Saccharomyces cerevisiae S288C: one gene and its partner. The protein of the gene in region 1 interacts with the protein of each later gene in a pairwise test. Each region holds a gene or a part of one and is shown on either strand. Other genes may lie near its edges.

What was found. The genes of interacting proteins can lie anywhere in the genome.
Region 2: the proteins of SFP1 (region 1) and MRS6 interact in binary tests that used the Saccharomyces cerevisiae proteins (3 or more experiments, as listed by UniProt).

The regions. Positions count from the first base shown.
Region 1 is NC_001144.5:923,837-928,165, forward strand, and holds SFP1 (zinc-coordinating transcription factor SFP1), read left to right. Parts: upstream 1-1,731; coding exon 1,732-3,783; downstream 3,784-4,329. Other genes in the region: tRNA dihydrouridine synthase DUS3, read right to left, coding at 1-612. UniProt on the Saccharomyces cerevisiae protein: Transcription factor that regulates ribosomal protein (RP) and ribosome biogenesis (Ribi) gene expression in response to nutrients and stress. Promotes RP gene expression under optimal growth conditions.
Region 2 is NC_001147.6:1,028,622-1,032,971, forward strand, and holds MRS6 (GTPase-activating protein MRS6), read right to left. Parts: upstream 2,374-4,350; coding exon 562-2,373; downstream 1-561. Other genes in the region: 40S ribosomal protein eS12 RPS12, read right to left, coding at 1-4; GPB1 (Gpb1p), read right to left, coding at 2,868-4,350. UniProt on the Saccharomyces cerevisiae protein: Substrate-binding subunit (component A) of the Rab geranylgeranyltransferase (GGTase) complex. Binds unprenylated Rab proteins and presents the substrate peptide to the catalytic component B.

The DNA.
Region 1 (4,329 bases):
TCTTCTTTTTATAAGATCGAGTTTTCTTTCCGGTGAGATATGGTTTACCTCACCTTTAACGGACCATATTGTTTGCGCATCTGGATCAATCTCCTTCTTCGATATTAGGATATTATCTTCTTTATTCAGATGAGACGATAAAAATCTGCATTTGAATCCCATGGGGCAAAATCCCAACGAGTTGAAGACCGGACAGGAAGGAAATATATTACTTTCAACTTCAGGCTTTTTTGTTGAAAGGTACAGATTGATATCGTGAACAAACCTACAGTTATCACCAAAGGAGCATTTAGATATATCGCCATGGATCAAGCGTGGGCACAAGACATTCTGTTCCTTGACCTGCCTGTTATCTCTATTCTTGTTTTGCCCACGCTTCTTACCTCTTCCGTTCTTATTTTTCTTATTAGTCCCACCTGCAAACTCGTTTGTCATTCTGTCGGAAGACATCTCTTCATCATAGATGGCGACCTTCTGGTTTTCATTCTGCTTCAATGGTACAATATATTCTGGTTTGATATGTGCAATACCTTTGGACGGGGAAGTGTCTTGTCTCTTCACGGTTGAGTTGTCGTCGCCAACAATAGAGCGTTTTTCAGCGTTTTGCTCCATCAATAATGTTTAGAAGTTGCCTTTTTTTCCTATTCTGAGTTCATTAATGTTTCATTACTGCTCATCTCATCACTACACATTCGAACTAAATTCTTCATAACTTTAACTAGATCTTATGAAACTTTTCAAAAATGGTGCACGGGCTTTCTGTATATTGAACTTTCCGTCGCTTTTCGGAGCTACAATTCCCCTACCCGGCTTGTCGGCATTAAGTCTCTTCATCCCGTGTACTATTACCCGACAGGTTTCTGCGGCATGTTCTGTGGAACGACGGTACGGGCGGTGACTGGGTGCCAAACAGTGCGGCGTTCCCGTGCGCAAGGTGGTCTGCGGTAGGAAAAAGAAACAAAACGCGCCTACGTCGTGCAAGGGGACAGGATTTTGTCAGTTACATAATAAGGAGCAATTTCGAATCAATTGAAATTTGGAACAAATGGGCGATGCATTCGTTAAAAGGCGATTTTGTATCAAATAACGTCACTATCAGCCATTGTCACTTGCCACTGTCGCCTGCCACCGCTATTGCCATTATCATTTGCTTTCGCATCGTCACCGATTTAAAGCTCTCTAGGCTAACGTACGCATTTTACCTCCCAGGCCCTATCTCTTTTCTACCTGTCATCCCTATATAACGTCTTGTACATTCTAGTGGCTCCGTTAACAAGGTTTGACAAATATTACAATCAAAGAAGGATAGCGCTAGTCAATCTAATCATTAAGTTCGCTTATAAAGAGAAGGAAAGCTAGATTTTTTTTCTACTTCAATTACATATCGGTGCTTCTCTCTGGTGGTTTTCTGTTTTTCTAATATTGATCGATTTTACGGTGAGTTAAACTACTTCCTTTTATCGCAATATCATATTTAGAGCGAGAAAGCAAGAAGAATAAAGCTAGGAGAAAAAAGCGCCACGATACATTCATACTAAGTTTATAATATACCGGTCGTCTTTTGGCTTTCTGATACCATATTATATCCTCGAAACACTTTCTCTGGATTCACCTACTATTAATCACCTCAAGATTTCACTTGTAAGGCGTTTTCAAATTTATTGTTATTAAAAGACATATTCATATTCAGTATTTTTATTTTTCTTCGAAACAGGAAAAGCTTATCTGAGTATGGATTTTACAACAATGACTATGGCAAGCAATATGGCTACTAGTACTACTACGACGGCTACATCGGCACATGCATCTATAAATTCGTCATCAAACTTTAATATTGATATTGATTCGAACCAGAATACTCCTTCCATTTTGATAAATAACAATTCGGATTCTTCTAATGGAAAAAACACAGATTTTAACGGCGTCAATAATATTCACCAAAAAAATATCATGAATAATACAAATAATGTTCATTTGTACTCTCCAAATATAATGGACCAAACGCTACTAACTCCACAGGACATTGCCAAGTTACGGAGAGAATCAATAGCCCATTCTCAAGGGATGGGTGGTGTTTCATGGGGATCCATTAGTGTTGGTTCTTGGTTAAGAGATGAAATTATTAGCCGTAGAAATAGTATTGTACCTGCATCAGCAAACGGTGCTGCCTCCGCTGCCGCTTCTGCAACCACTACTGCCACTAATACTTTGCAGATTCAACAACCAACTAAGAGACCCTCTGTTAGTAATCCGCCTTACCATAGAGGGTATTCTATTTCTCCTCAGATAGCCTACACTGCTTATCTGCCAAATCTAGAAAAGCAATATTGTAAAGATTATTCATGCTGTGGTCTTTCCTTACCAGGTTTGCATGATTTGCTGAGACATTACGAAGAAGCTCATATATCCACGTCTCCTAACACTACCAATATGTCACAAATACCGATGAACTCTGCTGGTAACACTAGTTCATCAGTTCGTATGACAAATAATACCTCTTCTGCCAACTATAACCTGCAGAATAACATGGCCGCTAATACAAAAAATGCAGGTCATAAGACTAATACTATGCAGGCTCATAGCAGCAATGCAACTAATAACACCTCCATTAATAATATGCATGCCAATCTTCAGAGCAACATGGATTCCAACTCCACAATACGACAATCTCAGCATCCTCACCATCAGCAGAATATAATACAACAACAGTTGCAATCGAATTCTGTAAATCATACATCAGGGGCTGTACCCACACCGAGTGTAATGGGTTCAGCAACTGCGTCGTCCACAACTGCAAATCCAAATGTGATATCTATAACGGGTGCCCCCAACTCGGGCTTATCTATGGCTAATCACTCTCAACAACTACATCTGAATGGTAATCTAGTCGATGCCGTTTCAACGAATGATGTGTTTTTAAGAACGAGCAATTCTCCATCAAGACACGTTCCGCACAATAAACAAATTAACAGTAACAATAATAGTGGTATCAATATCAATAATAATACCTCACACAATTCTAATATTAACATGGGTAGTAAAAACGCCATGGTGAATCGTCCACATACTTTTAATAACTATTCCTTGAACAAAACGTCCAGGAATCCTATTCAACATCAATCAAGAAAAATTGATCCTCATCAAACCGATTTATCACCTCTGGTACTTGTCCAAGATATAGATTTAAGTTTTATGGATGATGATATTTTGGGCCCTAGTAACCACAATTCCATGAACTCTGTCGTAAATCCAACTACAGGTTCTCACAACTACAATACTTTTCATTCTTCCGTACACGCAAAATCTTCTCAAAACATGGTCGAGGATCAAGACATTGATGACATTGATGATGACGATGATGTTGATGATGACGATGACGATGACGATGACGATGACACAGAAAATGGCTCCAGTTCCAATGGAAAATCAGTTCATAACAACAATTACAAGATGCCTCAGCAAGCTTATATAGACGATCCTGCGAGAAGGCTCTATGTAATGGATCATGAGGAACAAAAACCCTTTAAGTGTCCAGTTATTGGTTGTGAAAAGACTTATAAAAACCAAAACGGTTTGAAGTACCATAGGTTGCACGGACATCAGAATCAAAAATTACATGAAAACCCTGACGGTACATTTAGCGTAATAGATCCAGATTCGACAGATTCTTTTGGTGATGGAATGGGCTCTGCAAAGGATAAACCATACCGTTGTGAAGTTTGTGGTAAGAGATATAAGAACTTGAACGGTTTAAAATATCACAGGGGCCACTCCACTCACTAAGATATAATTGTTTCTTTACTGAATTGATTTAGTATGCTATTTAGATACTAATTCTACCGTTACCGACTCATGCATCGAGCGGCCGCTCTTTCTCTTGTTGTTGGGCGCAATTTATGTGATCATCTTTGAACGAAAATGCATGATAAAGCTGTGCTCTTCGACTGTTACCATTAATTTCAAAAAATAAAAAGCATATCTATTATTGAAAAATGAACTTATAATAGAATAACATTTTCTTGTTTTGTCATCATTTCCTCTAAATACTCCGTCATGAAAACGATTTGCGCTCTGTCTGGTCTCTCCTTTTAGTATTATTGTTGTGTGTTTTTTACTATTCATTTTTTACTACTGTGTTTTTACTATATATATTTTGGCTTTACTTACTTCCTTCTGTTCTGATGTATTAAAAACTATTTTTATTCTAAGAAAAGAAACTTTAATTCTTCTTATTCATGCTCTAAATCTTAAATAAAAGGTTCCGTTTTTTATCTGCAATTCTGTGTATTTGTAAGTGAATTACCATGCACGTTGTCGGATCGTTTTTCT
Region 2 (4,350 bases), on another chromosome or scaffold:
ACATTTTTCTTCTCAATAATATATAGTCTAGTTTTTGACTTCTTCGACAGTAAGATAATTAAACTGCTCCGTGAAGAGTTTTGAATTGGGAAAAACAATTGAACAAGGAACACTTATAGACCTGTTGTGATAAGAGATGACATAACTTTTATAATATGTCCTGCGGAGAATTCGATGAAATTTTGCAAATTGTAAGTTTGCTTGAAAGTTTGCTTGCGGGTAAGGTATTCTGAAAAAAATAAAATGATTCCACAATGGAAATGTGAAGATGTTGTAAACAAATCAAATGTACGGATGCACAATGGTAAACAGTACTGGATTTCTTTTTATATCACCGTTGAGCCGAAACAAACCCCGAAATAACCATTTAATATGCCAAGATGTACAAACCTCGTCTTTGCTTATTCAACTGCTACATTCGCAATACCTCAATAACGAGGTGCGTATATACATGAAGCAGAATTTTTTTTTACATATATATACTATTCATTAACTTGTAAGAAGACATTAATCACCGTTTCCTGAAGGGAAAAAAATACTAAATAGAATATGTCTTGCTCGTCATATCTCCATTTCACCTACAAATTCACCGGAACCTTCCATATTGACATCGTCGTCATCGTCTATGGCATTTTCAAATTGTTCCGCATTAGCAACGCCGCTAGCCTGTATTTCATCCTCATCTTCAAAATCTAAATCGAAGAAGTCATCATCACTGCCAACTATCTTTTCGTATAAAACTTTGGCTGCGGTGACTACTTCATCATACGATATCTCAGCAGAAGGCATGGTTGTATATATGACGCCATTATCACTCGCACCGGGAATATACTTTTTTTCCAAATCTTGATTTACATCAAAGAAGGAGGAGTTAACTACACCAAAGGGTGGCGTGGATGTGTATTGGGTATAATAAAGTTTAAATAAGAACTGTAATCTTTCCCTAGGAACATACTCCTTAAAAGATTGGCCTAACTTAACTGAATTTACTATTGTATGACCATTTCCCGTTAGTTGAACAATTTCTTCGTCGTTCTCTAAACCTGAAGACGATTCCCTTAGCAGGGCCATTTCCATAGCTTCTAGAGCGGCATCAATGTCCATTTCAGCACGTGGGCCTTGTTCTGTGGTCGATAAATACCATACAATAGTTCCTTCTGGACAAATTTCGCTGCCAGCACCGAGAATAAAGGCTTGTACTACTTCCTTATTACCAGATTTCAAAGAGCCAGGAGGGAAGACTACCATGGCGGCCGATTCACCCTCATTGAACCATTCAGTACAGGGGTTTTCAACTATACAGGTCAAACGATGAACCTGGTACTGTTGTTGAGGGACATGCTTACTGTCTTTAGGTGCTTGCGTAGGCGATATTATCACTTTCTCTGAAACTTCAACTTTGGATCCATCTTGGAATGTGGCCACTTTAGTTGTAGGGTTGAAGGATACCAATTTCTCATTGAGTTTGTAAGTAGCGCCACCTACAGCGGCAGATCTACAAAACCCTTGCGACAATTCTCCTGGCCCACCATACTTGGAGCATAGTGCAGGGAATGGTCCATAAACATCGAAACTAGTTAGATATCGACGAATCCTTTGTAAAGCTTCTGGTACTTTTACGTTGAGATCATAACATAACCCAATTGAGAAGATTAATTCGAAGACTTGTGGTTTTTCTAATTTAAACTTTTCCCCTAAAAAATCAGACATGGTCCTCTCCGCGTAGGGTTGCCATATTTCCGTTTGTGCTTCCCAGTTGAGTACGAATTTGATAAATTTCATTAAGTTCCTCTTTGTCATTAGTGGTAGGTTTTGATCCGTGAATATTTCTTGCTTTGTATTTGTTAGTTTTTCGAAACAATCATTTTCATAAGTATGGAAATTAGATAAAGATTGGAATTCTAAATACTGGTGAACTCTTGATTTGATTAAGATGGATAATAAATCAGATTTTGCAAATAGGATCTTCGGGGAAAGATCAATACCGAAATCTCTTGAAGAATATTTACCACTACCGATTAGCGTGGATACATACAACTTCGCATTTTTATAGCAACTTACTGAGCCTTCATTAACTTCATTTACCCATCTTTTGATTTGGTCTACAGTTAGTGTGGCTGAAGTGTCACCGTAATAATCATTCTTATCAATATGAAGGACATTGGAACCTTGCCAAGCTAATGCAGCAGCCAATACACTCTCTACCATACCAGTCCCTGCGATTAAAACATCAACTTTATCTGGTGTAGTGGCTGGCAAAGGGTCTTCAATACCGGCTAAATGCGGGACAACTAGAGGACTTGGATTTTGAGTAAAACTGAAAAATGATGGGCGGCGTTCTGCCATGGATGGTCTACGTTCAGGACTTAACATAACTTTTTTTCGGTCAATATTAGTCTTCCTTTTTTTATTTGTATTATAGAAACTGAAATGTTGCTGTTAAACCCTTAAAAAAACAGTAATAAATTAAACTTAAATGTTTATATCCGAAGGCAGTATCCTAGTGTCTTTTAGTTTATTATCGCAATGTGATAGTTTATCTTTCAATAATGATGGAACGGAATAAAAATTTTTCTTGTACTGATTGAATTTAGTTGCGAATTAACCGTACGCACAATCAGTGTATATTACTTCTGTAAAATCAAATGTGCAACAACTTTTGAATATATTTAATGACGGGAAAAGAACACGGGAAACGCTACTATTGTTGTATAGTGCGATATAGAACCTTTTTTTATCTTCTTCACTTGTTCTGTTTTCTTTTTTTTTTTTTTTTTTTTTTTCAAGTTCCACGAAAAAATTTTCTCGTTTTCCTTTAGTCACTCTTGTCACATAAGGATTATCCGAACCCCGCCCCGCGGAATTAATTAGTTGGCTAGATTCATGCTTGGTAGAATGAATTGTAAGACAGCTCCTCTCAAGTAAAGGCTCGAAATGTCTTCGCGACCGGCTACTACACCTCCTATTAAGGTCATGGTTCCTTTGACCAGTTCTATAGTACCTGCGACGGCCAATACTTGGTGGGGTGTGCCGACATGAGGATCCATAATGACAGATTCTTTAGTATCTCCATCATTTCGTATTAGCTTGCAACCTTGAAGGCATTGTGTATTTAAATCCACGACATTTATAACGCCACTTCCGAGTGGAACACCCGATATTACTTCTTCAGGAAGAGTTTCGTCCCGGTATATTCGGTCAACATCACCTTGTCGTAGACCCCCGATAAGCACAACCTTGTGGCCTACAGTTGTCATTGAGTGTCCTACCATACATAAGTTGATAGGTACCAAACCATCAGATTCCTCTTGTGTTTTGGCATAAAGGTCTATTTTAGTCCAGGTTTCGGAATCGAAGTCAAACCACCACATATCGCTGCAAACGTCATAGCCATCTGAACCTCCGTGGAACGCAATAGTTCTTCCGATTGATGCACATTTTTTTGATGGATTCAATGGTGGTGTATGTTTAGGGCTTGTGGGAGGACTGGATGTGGTATTCCTGGTAGACTTTGAAGAAGTGTCTTCACTAGTACTATTATTAGAATTGGAAATATGCATACTATCGCGACCACTCTTCTTCTCCTTCCTTGAATGTGGGATATTCGGAAAAAGTGGTTGAGAAGGCTTATTTCCTGGGCGTATTTCCAAATCGATGGAGAAGTCATTTTTCAAGTTCCTCAGTAATCTCGTTTCTATGGGTTCAACATCCTTGGTAAAATAATCTGGTACACAGCACGCTGAAAAGGCTCTTCTGCTCGGCCATAATTCTGGATCATCAATAATAGGGATCTTAGTAGCAGTTACAGTATCTGCAAATTTATAATAATTACGTTTCCCACGAGAAACTACAGGGATATTTATCTTCCACATGTCATTCATAGCTTCATACTTGTCGTCACCAGTCTGACTATACCCTCCAAAGATCAGAATGGTATTAACAGATGAGCAAATGTGTGTTGCTGTGCTACAATGTTTGGAAGAGAGACTATCTGTAGACCTTGGGTTTGTTACAGGTGGAATTGCATCATCCTCTAAATAGTCCGTACTTCCTGGTGAACCAACCAAATCATCTATTTTGTGATCCCCATTACCTTGGCGATATGGGCTTATCGACCTTCTTCCTTTCGCACTTGTTGTGGTATTTTCATTGGATACATTGTTGTTGGAATTACTTATTGATGCCTGCATGTGACCAAATCTTGGCGAGAAATTATTGTAAATTGCAAACTGGTACGGAGGAGCGACTAATTCAATCTTTGAGAAATTGAACGTCACTGTATCTAGAATGTAACCAGTATTGTTCAAAAAAGCTCTTTTTCTTATAAAATATCTTCCCTTATCATCAACT